Linked DNA regions of Solanum lycopersicum. The protein of the gene in region 2 interacts with the protein of the main gene of each other region in a pairwise test. Links are inferred from orthologs where the notes say so. Each region holds a gene or a part of one and is shown on either strand. Other genes may lie near its edges.

Region 1 (3,569 bases), on a different chromosome or scaffold from region 2:
AGAGTATTGTGGCCCAACCATGCATCTACCCAGTAGTAGTACTTTATAAGATTTCATTTCATCCTTAATTAAAATGATTAATAGATCAAACTTCTTAGATTAGCTAGCTTAATTACCTTTGATCAATTAGACTTGTTTGCCATGAAAAAAGAACCGAGTTTCAAGAAATAGTTCCTTTTACTAATATGATTTGCTTGTTTGGGTTGGGTTACATTTTGACCCATCGGGTTGCAGTAATTTGACCCATTTCGACTCAATTGTTTGATGGGTCATTTCTAACTCAACCCGTTGAGTAAACATAACAAGTGGGTAATGACCCAACCGGTATACGGAGTGAGCGGGTTGGGGATGATTAGAACCCCTAAATCTAGATATACATAAAAAGTAAGCAAGTAAGCCAAGACTGATTACCTCCGTAAGCGACGCTGCAGTTCCAGCAATTGAAGCTTTTTCAGCTCAATGACACTTTTCGTTTTTGCAGAGATATCCTCAGAGGAGCTCACAGATTCCTGCCACATAAAGGAAGACGAGTATTTATCACATGCGAGCGATCTTAACCGGGATGTAAGAGTCATTTATCAGATAATCAGGTCGCAGCAATCTACAGACATTAAAGATGCTTATAATAGTTCTCACATGTGTATCACATGCTGGAAGAGCATATCATCCAATGGTTTGTGTTGATTGGAGGACATTGTTGATTGAAAAGCTCAATAATGGGAGAATAGAATATGTTATTCCATTGTATTTTATTGTATTGATTCTCTTTCCTTAATTAGTCATAGGACTCCATGTATAAGTACCCAATTCTCATGGGATGTAGAAATATCCAAAAATACAAGCAAGTCTACTTTTCAAAAATCTTCGGGTCTAAAGCATCAAAAATAGCTTGTGCAAAGGTTTAATGAAATCCATTTCTTAAGGGATAATGTAACTCATACACTCACTCAAGATCCATAAAGAAAAGACCTATTCAACATTAAAGTCATTGATGCCAGCTTCAATTGCTTATTATCTTGGCATCAATGACATCATTTTGCGCTCATTATGCAGTTTAATTTAACATTTTGCAGCTAAGGTAGAAAAATGACCAACTAAACAGTTTTTCTTCATCTGCACAGCCTACACAGTCGGCAGTTGCTTTGACCGTTTCAAAATGGAATTAAGAAACAATTGAGAATCTTCGGAATTTTTTGATGAAGAGTAACTTTGTATATATCCAATTTTTTGATGAAGAGTAGCTTTGTATATATTCCACCAGAAGTAAGCCTTAAGACAGTACCCAATCTAATCAGTATCAACAAAGCTCACCCCATAATTCAGTCTACATGAAATCCTGATAAGAGCATTGCATCTCATAAGGAAGAAGGATTTTCAATAACAGACCTTCAACTTCTCAGCAGAAGCAGCAATTCTTTCTTCTGTTTTTTGCTGTTTTTTCGACCATTTCTGTTCACTAATAAGCTTCCTTTTCCGTTGATCCAGAATCCATTTCTCCAGCATTGTATGCCTTGGAGATGATAACCTATCCGTGGATGCTGAAATATTATCATCCTCTTGATCTGTTTCTTGCACTGTAAATGAACTTGGTGCACAGATGTTAGAACTCAATGTGCAGATGTTAGAACAATAACTAATCATACAAAGAGAAATATGTATGTACACTCAGCACACAGGAACATCAATCCCATGGACGGGACTTGACCACACCATAATGGCAAAGAAAAAGAAAAGCAAGTAAAACAAAGGTGGTATCTGCATCTGTGCATGGAAGTTATAACAGAAGTTCGTCTTACTTAGATCCCCAAAGCTAAAACCAAGGGGGGAAGGTGATCTTTTGTAAGGAAATAGATAAGAGGTGAAATTCTTATATTATTCAGACCTTGTGACAGATTTTTCAGCGTTATATTTGAATCCTTCACTTGCATCATTGTAGGACTCTGATTAATTACTCCAGGAACAGATTTCCACTGTTGCCTCAAGGGTAAACTAGGTAAGTTACTATCAGCATGTCGATTTCCTTGAGCATTGCTATCAACAAGATTTTGAGACTGACCAGTATGATTATCTCTCATTAGCAGACCCGATCCATGGGTATTGGCGGAGGCAGTTGGTGATACCTTTGAAGCCTCAGTTCCACTCCTACCACTCAGATCAGGCTTCATTTGCTTGCTTGTGCCCATAACAGAGGAAGCTTGAGGAAACATTCCAAGCTGTTCAGTATTTGCAGGAGCATTCTCATGATTATAGGGAGGAAAGGATTTCGGATCAGTCGGAACTCCTCTAAGAGCAGATGCCTGTGATTCTATAGCATCCTGGATGGGCATTTCAGCATCCTGAATCATTCTCATTTTTCTTTGGGGTCTCCTTTCGTCAGCATGCTCAGAAGGATCAAGCTGACCATTTTTATCTTCCATCAAGTTTGCATTCTCAGCCTCCATTGATGAATTTGTATCGGTAAGAATTCCAGAAGGTGTAGGACCAGAAGAAATCCTGTCAGTTTCGCCAGCTCCTCCAAATGTCCGTGTGACTTCAGATGCGCTGCCTTGGTCAGTAACCAGTTGCTCCCTTCCTTTATGGTCAACCAATTCTCTGCGATCTATAGAACACCATACATTAGCACATGAAACAGATTATATAACATTTGAATCAGAGCAAGAAAAAAATAGAGCTATTAAGCAGCAGATACCTTCTTTCGGATAGAAGTTTCCGAGTGCAATCTCAAGATGAAGCTTCTTTGGCATTAAACCATTCCTATAAGTGAAGAGATATTGAAAACTGTGGCAGCCGAAAGCAAAAACTTCTTTGCATAATGACAAACACTAGAATCTAACTTCATTATCCTACATACCTAAAAGCCAAAAACACAAGACATTGTGCTCTAAGCTGTTTCAAATGATGTTCTTTGAAAGGCATGGTAGATACAGGAGCCTGAGCAGCGACAGACAACATCCCTGCATCTCTGATTGTTTCACTTCTAAGTATACTCTTCTCTGGGACATTGTTGGGCATGCCCCCCTGTTAACACAAACAAATTAAGGCAAAGATGAAGCACAGAGAAAACAGATACTGCTGAAAAAGAAAACCAACTAAATACTATCACAATCTATGTGCTTCTCGAAATTGAGAAACCTAAACATAGTAGAAGGTCCTCTGTTCTATGCAGTCCAGCTCAAGCAATAGTTGGAAAGAAGATCAAAACTCATCTAACTTGAAAAGCCAAGGAAAGGATTCATAACAACAACTACAAGAGACGAAAATAATGAAGTTCAGTTTTTTGGATATCCTTCTATTGGTGCTCACGGGATGCCTGCAATAATAATAAAGATAGTTTTACACTAGTTAATAAAATGTTGTAACCTCGATCTGGAGATCTTCTCCTAATCTTAGGAACTTATAATGATGATGAAAATGCAACTAAACAAATTATAAAACAGATACACGGAAAAAATCATGTTATCCTGGCCCTCTAATTTTGCCTAGACTTCTGTATTAGCTGGTTCCAGATCATCATTTGTTACCTAGTTAAAGAAGAAATTGGGTAAACCATAACAGTATCCCCAGTTAAG
Region 2 (3,849 bases):
TGCTAATACAATAACTATGCCTCAAGTGCTATACAAGTTGGGTCGACCGACTATATAATTCTTCACTGACCATGTGATTCTGTGCTATAGGTACGTCAATAGGGAAAAGGTATGCAAGAACAGATGAACTTGGAGTTCCCTTTGCCATTACAGTGGATTCAGCATCCTCTGTGACGATCCGTGAAAGAGACAGCAAGCAGCAGATTCGTGTGAATGTTGATGAAGTAGCATCTGTTATTAAGGAGGTAACTGATGGGCAGAGCACCTGGGGTGATGTGTTATGGAAATACCCTACTCATTCTTCTTGATCCCTTGAATTGAGAATTTTTATTAGCGCATTGGTTTGTTACTCATCGACAATTTGTTTGACGATCGTACATCAAAGTGACAGTAAATACTTGTGCAATGAGAGATCTATTCTGTTGTTTTTCTCCATTATGTTGAACCATTATCTGTTAGAGATCTTAAACTTTAAGCAGTTACAGAATTTGCAGAAGTGAAATGAGGGACCTCCATGTTATGCAGAAAATTTTGATCTTTAAGCTGAAAGATTACATCAAGAGTAGAAAAAAGTAGGGAAGTCGGAGAGATTTAACACAGTAGATATACTTTGTAAACTGCAGTCATCCTCAGAAGCACAATTAGAAATGTGGCAGGTGATCAGCAACACCACCAGAGACGGAGCTAGAAGCAGCTGCAGCCGCGTTGCTTCTTTCAGAATGGCACAGCTGTCGGAGCTTGGTGGGGACATACCAAATGGCTAGTCGAGGATGTGCATTGAAGATTGCATCGATATCCCAGCCTTGTCGAGCCGCTATAGCCACCAATGGCTTGTAACACGCCTGTCTCCATGCCCCAACATTCTCTCCCCGCTCCTTGAAAGCTCTTCTCAGAGCATTGGAAGCATCCTCATCAAGGCAGTGAAGTGCATAGCAATGCACATAATGTCTCATTTTGGGCTTGTTTATGTAGCTTGCCCCTGCCTTCTTCGCGTACCTGAACACCTGATTCGTCACCTACATATTCAACACACTCGTGAATCAATATGCGATAAATTTACGTAATTGTCTTAAATTACGTCTACCTAACTATTTTTTTTTTGGATACATGCTAGCTTTCATCAAAACGAGATGGTCAATGTGTAGACTATGTATATGGTAAGGACAAGTTACAGGTGGAGGTACTTGAGTGGAAGTACAAATGGAGTAATGGGGCAAGAGCTGAAATTCAAGCTTTATGGTTGAGCCCATCAGTAGCTGTCGAGTTTACTTTGTGGACAGCTAATGGTTACTCTTAGACCCAATTAACGAGGTCCTCTGTTACCACATTCATTTTTATACACGACCTTTCCTAGCTCGACTATTATTTCGTATTCGATATTTATAATTTTAAAAAAATGAGAAAGAGAGAAAAGGAAGGTGACCTTCGTAGGGCATTTTTCACCTCGTTCCTTAGCAATAGTCTGAACTTGGATCAAGAAATCACGGCATTGTTCGTAGAGATGGAACAGATAATCCAAGCCGTTCTTTTTGCCACGTGCTACTTCACCAGGCTCCGTCACGATAAACGGATGCTCCCTTTGTCTCTCGCTTATTCCTCCACCTCCACCTCCTTGGTTCATATTTTCTTCATCATCTTCTCCTAATTCCTCCGTTTCCTCATCCTCTTCCCCTCTTCTCTCCCTCCCCGCCTTCTTCCTCCTCCTTTGTTTCATCCTACCACCACCACCGGCAGCCACTTCCCATGTACCTCCACCACCACTTCCTGCCGCTTCTCTCTCCTGCTGCTGCTGCACTGGTTCCTCCGATAATCCTACTTTACCATTTTCACCATATGTATAAGATCATTTTAAACGTATAATAAACAATTGTCACTGGTACATCATTAACACGAATCAATTTACTAGTTTACTTGATCGATCTCTTTCATTTTATGTGCAATGATTTTGGTGGGGTATGAAAGTGAATTATAAAAGTGAGTGATACTAAAATAAAATCAAATTTGAAAAAACAATGAATTGCATGCAAGCAGGAAAATTTAAAAATCAATATAACAGTGCATGAAACAAAATTATTAGCACAATTCAGTGCATGTAATTGAGAAGTTGAAATTTTGGTACCTTCTTGTGATAGAGCGTCAAGGACATTCGTTCCACCGTCGGACAAAATGTGTCCGCGGCGCCGTGCTTCCTCCTCCTCCAGCCTCCGCCATTCAGCTCTAATCGCCGCTTTGATACCGTACCTCTCTCCGACGAGTAGGTCCCACCGAAATATCTGCGAGAGGCTATTCATCATATCATCAAGTTCTTCATCTTTCATGTCCAATAACGTGTTCACAGTGAACCCTAACTCCGCTATCTTAGCGGCGGTGTAGTAGCGTATGCCGTACGCTTGAAATAACTCCTCTAGTCCTCCGAGCTCCCTCGTACTCCGTATGGAGTAGGATGATGTTGGGAGCGGCTGAGGAGGTGGTGGTGGTGGTAGAGATGGAGGAGGTTGTGGTGGCGCCACCGGTTCTAATAACCGGCTTGGTGGTGGCATTGCACCTCTTGGGTCCCACTTGAACAAACTCGCCGAGAAAGCATCTGGGTCCATGTTGTTAGAAGCACACACTTGGGTTACTATGGAATGGAAGGTGAAAAACTGTTGCTTTTTATAAGAGTTTAACTTCGACTGTAAAAATAAATATTTACAAACTTACAACTGCCTGCGTATACTTTATTTTTTCCAAAATCATTCTACGTAATTAGCCAATTATTTACTCCAGTGATATAAATTTAAGAAAGAAAAAAATTAATTCGTATAAATCAAAGAGTATTATATAATTAAAAGTGAGTTTAATACACTATCAATAAATTAAATTTTTCATCATCAGATTATTATTAACTTATGTAGTAATTTGTTATATTAAAAAATTACAAACACAACGTTTAAAGGAAATTAAATATGTATATGTAGATGTGATTTAGATGACATGGTAATGATTACTTAAATTCATTTTCGATAAATCACTTGATAATTATTACTGGATAATTTGAAAAAATATAGTGCTCTAGAATTGATCTTAAAATTTACTAAGCTTTTCCAGCATCATATAAAAGAAACGTATGCTATCTATCACCTTAGTACTAACTAAAAGTTATCAATTTGTAATTTTATATTTATTAAAAGATAAGTGAATTACGTTTTACACCAAGATAAAATAAAATTTTGTTTTAAAATTATCTTAAGTTTGAAAATATACAAAATTTCTGGGATAGGATCAGAGATACGTGAATAGCAATGTGCTTTTCTGCATTTGCATACAGAGAAAAAAAGGTACGGATACAACAGTTGAAATAATTTTACTTTTTTTGAATAGACTTAGTTCAAATGAGACTAGTTCCAATTCACCACTCTCTACTTCCACACCCTTTTCTCCACTTTTTTGTATTTTTCTTATTTTAGAAACTTTTTCTAACTAGCTTCTTCGACTTGTAACCTTTCAACAATAATGGATAGCAGGTAACCGTGTCCGCCAAAATTAAGATAGATGAGAAAAAATTATTTAGTGATTTTTTTTTTATAAATAGTGATTTGAATCTGAGATCTCGGCATTCTCAACGTTATCTGTCCATTATTCCAAAAACATATATATATATATATATATTTAATTAATTCTTGTTATATATAAGCATATCATGAATAACATTATACTAATGTTCTTACCAAATATTATTTTCTAAGAAACGTGCAAAGTTTACTAACAATCATTATCGAAAATATTGAAGATTAATTTATGCATTTTTTATTTTTAAAAAAATATTATGAACATTTTGCTCAAGTGGGGGGTACTTGTACGTGAAGTAAA
Region 3 (4,284 bases), on a different chromosome or scaffold from region 2:
TTTGTTTATTTTTGGATATTCCTAGCCACTAAGACATTTTTTTTAGTGTTGATCTTATTTTGATATCAAGATTCAATTAAATTTATATTTGTGCAAGAGTTATTTAAGATATAAGTATATATACGTTTATTTCTAAAAATTCAAACTCAATTCTCTCTTCGTAACTAATCTTATCGACATTATTATTTAATTACAAATGTGGTAAGTTATTATGTCCAATAGAGTAAAATAAAATACGTGTAAATAATCTATTTAGATTTTTAGGATTCAAATATCTCTTTTCACGATTTCCTTTTCATAATTATAGTTGCCAAAACAATATTTATCAATTTATGTGATTTTCTTTTATACATTCATATTTATACAATTCAGACAAAAATCAGTTAAAATTCGAATTGTAAAATTCTGAAGTTATGCTCTATATAATAATTTTTCAAATAAAAAGTCGAATGAATTCCTTTCGCGCATATTTCAATAAATAAATTATTTTACTTTTAATTTAACATTTTTTTATAACATACATAAAATAAAATATATGTTAAAATTAATATTTCTTAAATTGGTATTATTTTTTATTCTTATTATTATTATACTAAAAAGAGACTGAAAATGCAAAGCCAAATAGGAATATCCGTCGACACACGTTATTACGTAATCAGATTTCCATATATTATAAAATGTTGGTATTTTGGTAAATATTACGTTTTCTGAGGTTAAATGAATTCCACTAACCTAACCTCTCTATACCTTAACCAGCCCTTAACCCAAGGTAAACCCAAGTTGTTGAGCAAAAAGACAACAAAAATTTAAAAGAATCCATACATACAAATTACAAAAATAATTACAAAAACAAAAATGTAACCAGTTCCAAAATAGTATTCAAAATTAATTTAATTGATTATCAACATTAAATTAAATTAAAAATTTAGATATTTAATTTTTTTTTTATAAAAGTACAATAAATTGTAAATTTTCTCCATATCTATATGATAAAAATATACAATATTTATATTATTTGATTTCTTAAAAGAAGAGTGATAAATTTTTTACCAGTCAAAAAATCTTTTATAGCGTTCACATAATTACTTGTAATGTAATAATATAGTCTCACTATAGAAAAATAATCACATCAATTATAAAGGTATTTATTTATTTAAATAATAATGATATCTATTAATCATGATATGATAAAATAATAAATACTTATTATCATGCTATAACAAGTTAAATTACCATATTTTAGATTTTGAGTTTCACAAGCTCATTAATCATCGCACATTTTTCATTTTTCATTTATATTACTTCTTTATATGACTTTTTTAATTTCATATTCATAATATATATGTCAATTTACACGTATATAATTTATTTATTATTGCTCATCAAATACATTAATAGAATCCATTAAAACTTAGATAAATAGAAAACTCTTTTAAGGGGAATATAATTTACAAAAATATTGCAAATTTTTTCACAAAATTAATTTTTTTTTTTCAAATCTCTAAAAATTGTTTGTTGTCATTTTAATGTAATAGGAGTAAAAAAAAAAAAAGGGAAAAAGGAGAAGCACATAGAAATAACAGCTGTTAGGGCTTGGACTAAAAATGCAAACTGCGTGAAAATTCACACATACACACACCAGACAGCATATATAGAGAGAGATTCCGGCAACTTCGGAAGATCGCCGGCGACTTTTCCGATCTTATCATAGGCCCACAGATTCGCGCCAAAATCCATTCACCATTACCCTCAGCAAAATTCTCGGTAGCTTTTTTTATCAAGAAAATAAGGAAATTATACATACAGGAAAAAAGAGAGAAAATTTTTATAGATAAAGTACAGTTGTGTGGGACAGAGAGGTGTAGAGAGTGGTGAGGTAAGGGGGGTGGGTGGTTGATTTGAACCTTGGGGATCGGGGAAAGTGGGAAATCTTGGGTTTTAGGAAACTACAGGGGTTTCCACTGAAATTAATGTTTCATTACTTATTTTCTTGATGATGGGGTTCTGAAATTAATCAATTAAATTTCAGGTGAGTTGCAACATTTTTGGAGGAAATAGAATTTTTTGCTGAATTTTCAAGGGTGCATGCAATCTGGGGGTGGAGCTCAGCAAGGTGGTGTCGCCGGCGCCGGTGGTGGACATGGGCGGAACACGGCGGCATCAGCCTCAGCTTCTCCAACATCATCTTCTTCTGCCTCTCATATGGGGTTGGATCAGCAGCAGCTGCATCAACAGCATCAGCGGCAGGTTAGGGTTAACAACTTTTTTTCTGAATTTTACTTGTGCTTTTGAGGAAGAGGGGGTGTTTCAAGTGGCATTTTGTTTTTTTCTGAAGTAGGATTGATGTTTGTTATTCTATTTTGGAAGTGGGTTTCGCATAAGACATCAAGTTCTTTTTTTTTTTGTATGATGTTGTTCAACACTAGGTTTGAAGTGACATGAATTTGCTTGCTATGTGAAAGACATTCTTTTTCTTGTTCAATTAGCACTGAGATGCCAGCTGCTAAACTACTTAAGCTTTGGAAGTAGGAGGAATTTGAAAATCTTTGTATGAAGGAGAGAGTGATTTGCTTTTTGTAAGAAAGAGCATTTTTTGTGCTGAAAAATGTATTAGCGCTTGTTGATTTTTAGAGTTATCCAAAATTCACTTTTCAGAGAATTAACTCTGTGTATCTTAGTCTTCCCTCTAATGGAAGTGTTAAGTTCCACCAAGTACGTATTGTCTAGCATGTTGTGATTCCTATTTTTCTTTTTCTTGATAGATAGTTCCACCTTTTCTTCCTTATTTTAAGTGCTCGTCTCTGCCAGGTCTTTAATATTTTAACCTTGACCTATTCAAAAGGTTTATATTTCCAACAGTATTGGAAGTTAATGTGATTCTTAGCTGCAATGATGTTCTCAACTCATACCAGATTAACTGTCATTGCTTCGGTTATGGAATGCAATCTTCTATTTCGTCCATCCACATGACACATTTTGTCCATGTGATTCTTAACTGCAATGATGTTCTCAACTCATACCAGATTAACTGTCATTGCTTAGGTTATGGAATGCAAACTTCTTTTTCGTTCATACATGATATGACACATTTTTTCCATGTGATTCTTAACTGCAATGATGTTCTCAACTCATACAAGATTAATTGTCATTTCTTAGGTTATGGAATGCAAACTTCTATTTCGTCCATACATGATATGCCACATTTTGTCCGTGTGATTCTTAACAGCAATGATGTTCTCAACTCATACCAGATTAATTGTCATCTCTTAGGTTATGGAATGCAAACTTCTATTTCGTCCATACGTGATATGCAACATTTTGTCCATGTGATTCTTAACTGCAATGATGTTCTTAACTCATACCAGATTAATTGTCATTTCTTAGGTTATGGAGTGCAAACTTCTATTTCGTCCATACATATGACACATTTTGTCCAAATTTGATACTTAATGATACTCTGAAAAGTTGTAATTGTCCTCATTTCTAAAATTTTACTGTATTTGATTTCTGAGTTGATTATCCTTAACAGGAAACACATTTATTAAAAGTGAACTGAAGAAGACGAATTGCAGCACAGGACGAAATAAGATGTTGCTTAACTAAACCAGAGTATTTTTGTCCAATATGTGCATAGAATGCTGCAAATTTCCCGAGAAATTCTTTCATGCTTTTGACTGGCAGTATTTGTCCTTCAGAATGCTGCAAATTTCCCTAGAAATTCTTTCATGCTTTTGACTGGCAGTATTTAACCTTCAGCATTATCAACTTTGTCAGTCATACCAGTTTCTCTCGAGTTTCTTGTATGCTATATTGTTATAATATTTTTCCATGTACTTTTGTTGCGTTGTTTGCTTCCAACTACTGATGTCTGGAGAGATTGTTGTTCCTTTTTTTAAATTATTTTTGAAACAATATTTTACCAGGTATGTTTTCAAATAAAGTGTCAAAACTTGTTATGTTGAATCATGATAGCTGCTCTTTTCGAACTGATTTGTGTTTAATCTTAGTGTCTTATTATGTTCCCCTGCTGAAAATATCGTGGTGGCTTATTGTCAAAAATAAGGAAGATCACAATAATCTAGGTCTTATTTAAATTACTCACCTTCTTTTATAAATAACTTTTACATATCACTTATCGGATATTCGTTTTGTAGTCATTACAACAACAGTTACTTAGAAGGCCTGAAGGAAACGAAGCTATTCTGGCCTTCCAGACTGGCAGTCCCCATGGAATTTTAGGTGGGGGTAATTTTGTTGGACCTTCTGGATCCATGCAGCTGCCTC
Region 4 (3,490 bases), on a different chromosome or scaffold from region 2:
AAGTTTATAAGAAGGGTTTTAGAATGGTAGAAATTATGTAGAATTTAACATTAACATCCAATAATTGCATGTAGTTGATTTTGTTCTCACTCTTAAAAATTATGAGATGAACAAGTTTTACTTTTTCTTTTTTCATACTTTTCACTTATTTCAAGAGAAAAACCAACTAATCAACCAGAAGCTAATTTTCATTTATAACTTTGAAATTAACTTTCTTATAGCAAATGAGGTTATTATATTCCACGTGGCAAAAAAATGACTTAGAATCAAATCAAAACGAGGGATCCTAACAATTTTAGCTTGTATAATAAACTAATTATATATCGATTATCCATCGTAAACTTTGGTTAAAATTTACAAAAAAAAGTTAGAAAATTAGATTTGTAAGATGGTTGTGTACTGTAAATATGTCGAATACTCTATGATATGCTAATAAAATCATCGGTAAAATTGACAACATAACGATATTCTTGTTGTTTTAATGATTAGGGTTTTCTACTTTGGTATTTTCAAAAGGAAGTAAAAAAAGATACCTAACTAAACTATATATAAGCACAAATCAATGTAAAACTCATATTAATAAGTCAACCAACAATAGTAGAGTACAAACTTTCTTCTTACTAAAGACTTGGTAATATAAAAACACTAGATAATTAAACACTAAAAATACAATTAATTAAGGTCCAAATGAAACACTATTCATAGTACTAGTACTACTGATACCCCACTTGTAAACAGTTTAACTATCAGTTGAATGACTGAAAGGGCAATGTCAACTGATCAAGAAGTGCACCAATAGGTGCAGCAAGTCTAGGGTCATAACCAAATCCATGCAACTCTCCCCCTCCAACTCCAAATTCTCCACAATAATTATTACTACTACCAACACCACCATAGTCTAAATTATTTCCCAAAAATGGACAAGGAGGTATCCAAATCCATCTCTTCTTACAGAAATCAAACAACAATGCCTTATCTGAATTATTCTTAATCATTATCACCACATATTCACCATGTCCAACACAACTAAACCCTTGTCCATTCTCCACTTCAGCAAACTGCACATACAATTGTTGTGGCATTCTTTCTATTTCCAACCACATTGTACCACAATCTTGCAATGCCCAAAGCCTCAAACTTCTTGGCACATTCAGTTTACTCTTTTCAACTGCTGCAACTAAAACAACCTTACCATTCCCTTCAACAAGGCTCGGTGAACGTAGGAATCGTCGCATCGGGGCTTGAATCTTGCACCAGTTATTAGTCCCTATATCATAAGAAAGCACACTAAAAGGACTAAAATTCATGCAATAAAATCTCCCCTGTACATGCACCATTTTGCCTGATTCAAAACTGCATAATCTTGGAAGTGTAGAAGTTGTACCCCATATTGAGTAAAATCCATTACCATCAATATGAAATGACTCTGTAGTTAAGTTTTTAACAGCATAAGGTGATATCAAGTCATCTCCAGCTACAGCTATATCAATAGATGTGTTGGTTATAGTTAAACCAATAGAAGGAAAAAGCCTAGGCCTTAAAGTTGGAGGCAGGGGAATTATGGATCCTACAAGTGGATTACATAAAAGAATGTTTTTTGATCCAGATTCATCAGAAACAAAGCAAATTAATCCACCAGAAGATGAAACAGGAGAAAACCCTTGTGGGATTAAAGCAAAAGAAAGCCTATACCAACAAAGATTATCAGGATCAAACAAGTAACCTTCAACAGAACAAACTCCTGAGTTACTACTATTCATCACGTTCTTGTAAATGTTGTTTCTTGGTACTTTTTGTTTAAAGAAAATGAACCAGTTCCTCTTAGGTGAAACTTGCAAGTACAATTCAAGAAAATGTGTAGAGTAAATAAGTCCATAGAATCTCTTACACACAACTCTAGCTCTAAAGAAAGCAGGTGGTGGTAGAAAAGCAATGATTCTATCAATAAGCCTATGTGGAAGTCTACTCCAAATTCTACTATCCATCCAAGTGTTGATGATCATTCCATTAACTGATGATGAATTTGGAGTTCCAAGAAAATTGGTTGTTGGTGTTGGGATAGGAAAAGCATAGGGAAAGTGAAAGCTAATAGGGGGATGATGAAAAGCTTCCATTTTTAGAGTATAATTGGAGATAATACTAAAAGGGATTTTGAGTTTGAAGCTAGGAGAGTTGTAAAAAGGAAAGTTAAGGTTATTTTTACTCTTTTATGTTTCTCAAATTCAGTGGACATGTGAGTTAAGGAGGTGGAGTTTTTCACTAATGAGGAAAGAGATATGAATGTTTGGCAGAAAACTAGAAGGGAAAGTCTCTTTTTTGGCTTCTCTGTTTGTCTTTTGGATTCTTGGTTTGTTTTAGGAGTTTATATAGGAATTTTGGCAGCATTTGTTTCTTCATATATTTTTTGGTTGGTGGAGTGATGGATACATGTATCATTTCAGTGTTTTCTTGTCAAGGCCGAGGAAGGAAGGACAATCTACAGACTGTAGTTCAACAGACAACACACACACAAATAAAGAGACAAGTTATTATGATTGATTAACTATGGAGTTCTAGGTTTGCTTTTAGTGAGTAGAGTGTATAAGAATACGATTTATTAGTAAGGTTAGCTATTTTCTTTATTCATTTCACTCGTTATGGTTTCATTTGACATGCCTATTGAGAAAAAAATTATGTTTAATACTCATCCGCTATTGACCTTTGTATATTTCTTTAGAAACTATATTAAAAAATGTAATTTTCTTATATCACCTCTTGAATATAATAAATACTTTGTGTTGATATAATGGGAAAATGACTAAAATAGTAAATGATAAGGGTAAAATTAAGTAGTAAGTGTAAAATTATCTATTGATTTCATAAAGTGGATAAATATTGTTATAGTTGTTTAGAGGGAGTATTAGGGTTTGGAAAATGATTTGGAGAATAAGTATTTAACGTTAAAGATAAAACATAAAAAAAAATAATTATTTTTTATTAATATGTCAAAAGTAATAACTAAAAATATTTTAAAAATAAATAACATGTCAAAAGAAACGAGGAATTATTTCTTATCCTCCGTTTGGTTTGGTATATTAAGGGTAGTTATCCCATGTATTAATAGCCCATATATGGATATTGGATAATATCATGGTTTGTTATGCATTTATTTATACACCCTGCTAAATAAAAGATTTAAGTAATACCAGGACTAATATAAGTGTTAGATTTTCCAATATATTCTATCAAATGACGCTAAAAGAATGTCAAAAACTAAATCCAAAAGGTTAATTTTTTGAAAAATATCGATTAAAAATCAACCTTAAATTGAAGTTTGATGAAATCATGATCAGTTAAAACTTACCATAATTAATTTTTTTTTTTTTAAATTTACCAACTTTCAAAAGTTAGTATTTTCAAATAATTTTGGGAGGCTGCATAGAGGAAAACTGTTTCTATTTATTTGTGAATTTATCTTCCTTATTAAGGAATTTTATTTTCTTCTCTAGAC

The links.
Region 1: the proteins of FALSIFLORA (region 2) and chromatin structure-remodeling complex protein SYD interact in binary tests that used the Arabidopsis thaliana proteins (3 or more experiments, as listed by UniProt). The link is inferred for Solanum lycopersicum from reciprocal best matches to the Arabidopsis thaliana genes LFY and SYD.
Region 3: the proteins of FALSIFLORA (region 2) and ATP-dependent helicase BRM interact in binary tests that used the Arabidopsis thaliana proteins (3 or more experiments, as listed by UniProt). The link is inferred for Solanum lycopersicum from reciprocal best matches to the Arabidopsis thaliana genes LFY and BRM.
Region 4: the proteins of FALSIFLORA (region 2) and DOT interact in binary tests that used the Arabidopsis thaliana proteins (3 or more experiments, as listed by UniProt). The link is inferred for Solanum lycopersicum from reciprocal best matches to the Arabidopsis thaliana genes LFY and UFO.

What each region holds. Positions count from the first base shown.
Region 1 is NC_090810.1:54,116,427-54,119,995, reverse strand, and holds part of chromatin structure-remodeling complex protein SYD, read right to left. Parts: intron 3,019-3,569; coding exon 2,852-3,018; intron 2,755-2,851; coding exon 2,690-2,754; intron 2,600-2,689; coding exon 1,883-2,599; intron 1,575-1,882; coding exon 1,387-1,574; intron 510-1,386; coding exon 412-509; intron 1-411. UniProt on the Arabidopsis thaliana protein: Catalytic component of the chromatin structure-remodeling complex (RSC), which is involved in transcription regulation and nucleosome positioning.
Region 2 is NC_090802.1:63,961,725-63,965,573, reverse strand, and holds FALSIFLORA (FLORICAULA/LEAFY-like protein), read right to left. Parts: upstream 2,661-3,849; 5' UTR 2,595-2,660; coding exon 2,120-2,594; intron 1,816-2,119; coding exon 1,424-1,815; intron 1,017-1,423; coding exon 642-1,016; 3' UTR 518-641; downstream 1-517. Other genes in the region: glycine--tRNA ligase, mitochondrial 1, read left to right, coding at 91-308. UniProt on the Arabidopsis thaliana protein: Probable transcription factor that promotes early floral meristem identity in synergy with APETALA1.
Region 3 is NC_090800.1:82,012,262-82,016,545, forward strand, and holds the start of ATP-dependent helicase BRM, read left to right. Parts: upstream 1-1,445; 5' UTR 1,446-1,764; exon of another isoform or gene 1,765-1,876; intron 1,877-2,029; 5' UTR 2,030-2,085; coding exon 2,086-2,247; intron 2,248-3,156; exon of another isoform or gene 3,157-4,154; coding exon 4,155-4,284. UniProt on the Arabidopsis thaliana protein: ATPase subunit of a multiprotein complex equivalent of the SWI/SNF complex that acts by remodeling the chromatin by catalyzing an ATP-dependent alteration in the structure of nucleosomal DNA.
Region 4 is NC_090801.1:61,733,339-61,736,828, reverse strand, and holds DOT (DOUBLE TOP), read right to left. Parts: upstream 2,313-3,490; 5' UTR 2,115-2,312; coding exon 747-2,114; 3' UTR 550-746; downstream 1-549. UniProt on the Arabidopsis thaliana protein: Component of SCF(ASK-cullin-F-box) E3 ubiquitin ligase complexes, which may mediate the ubiquitination and subsequent proteasomal degradation of target proteins. Considered as a meristem identity factor required for normal growth of the young floral meristem.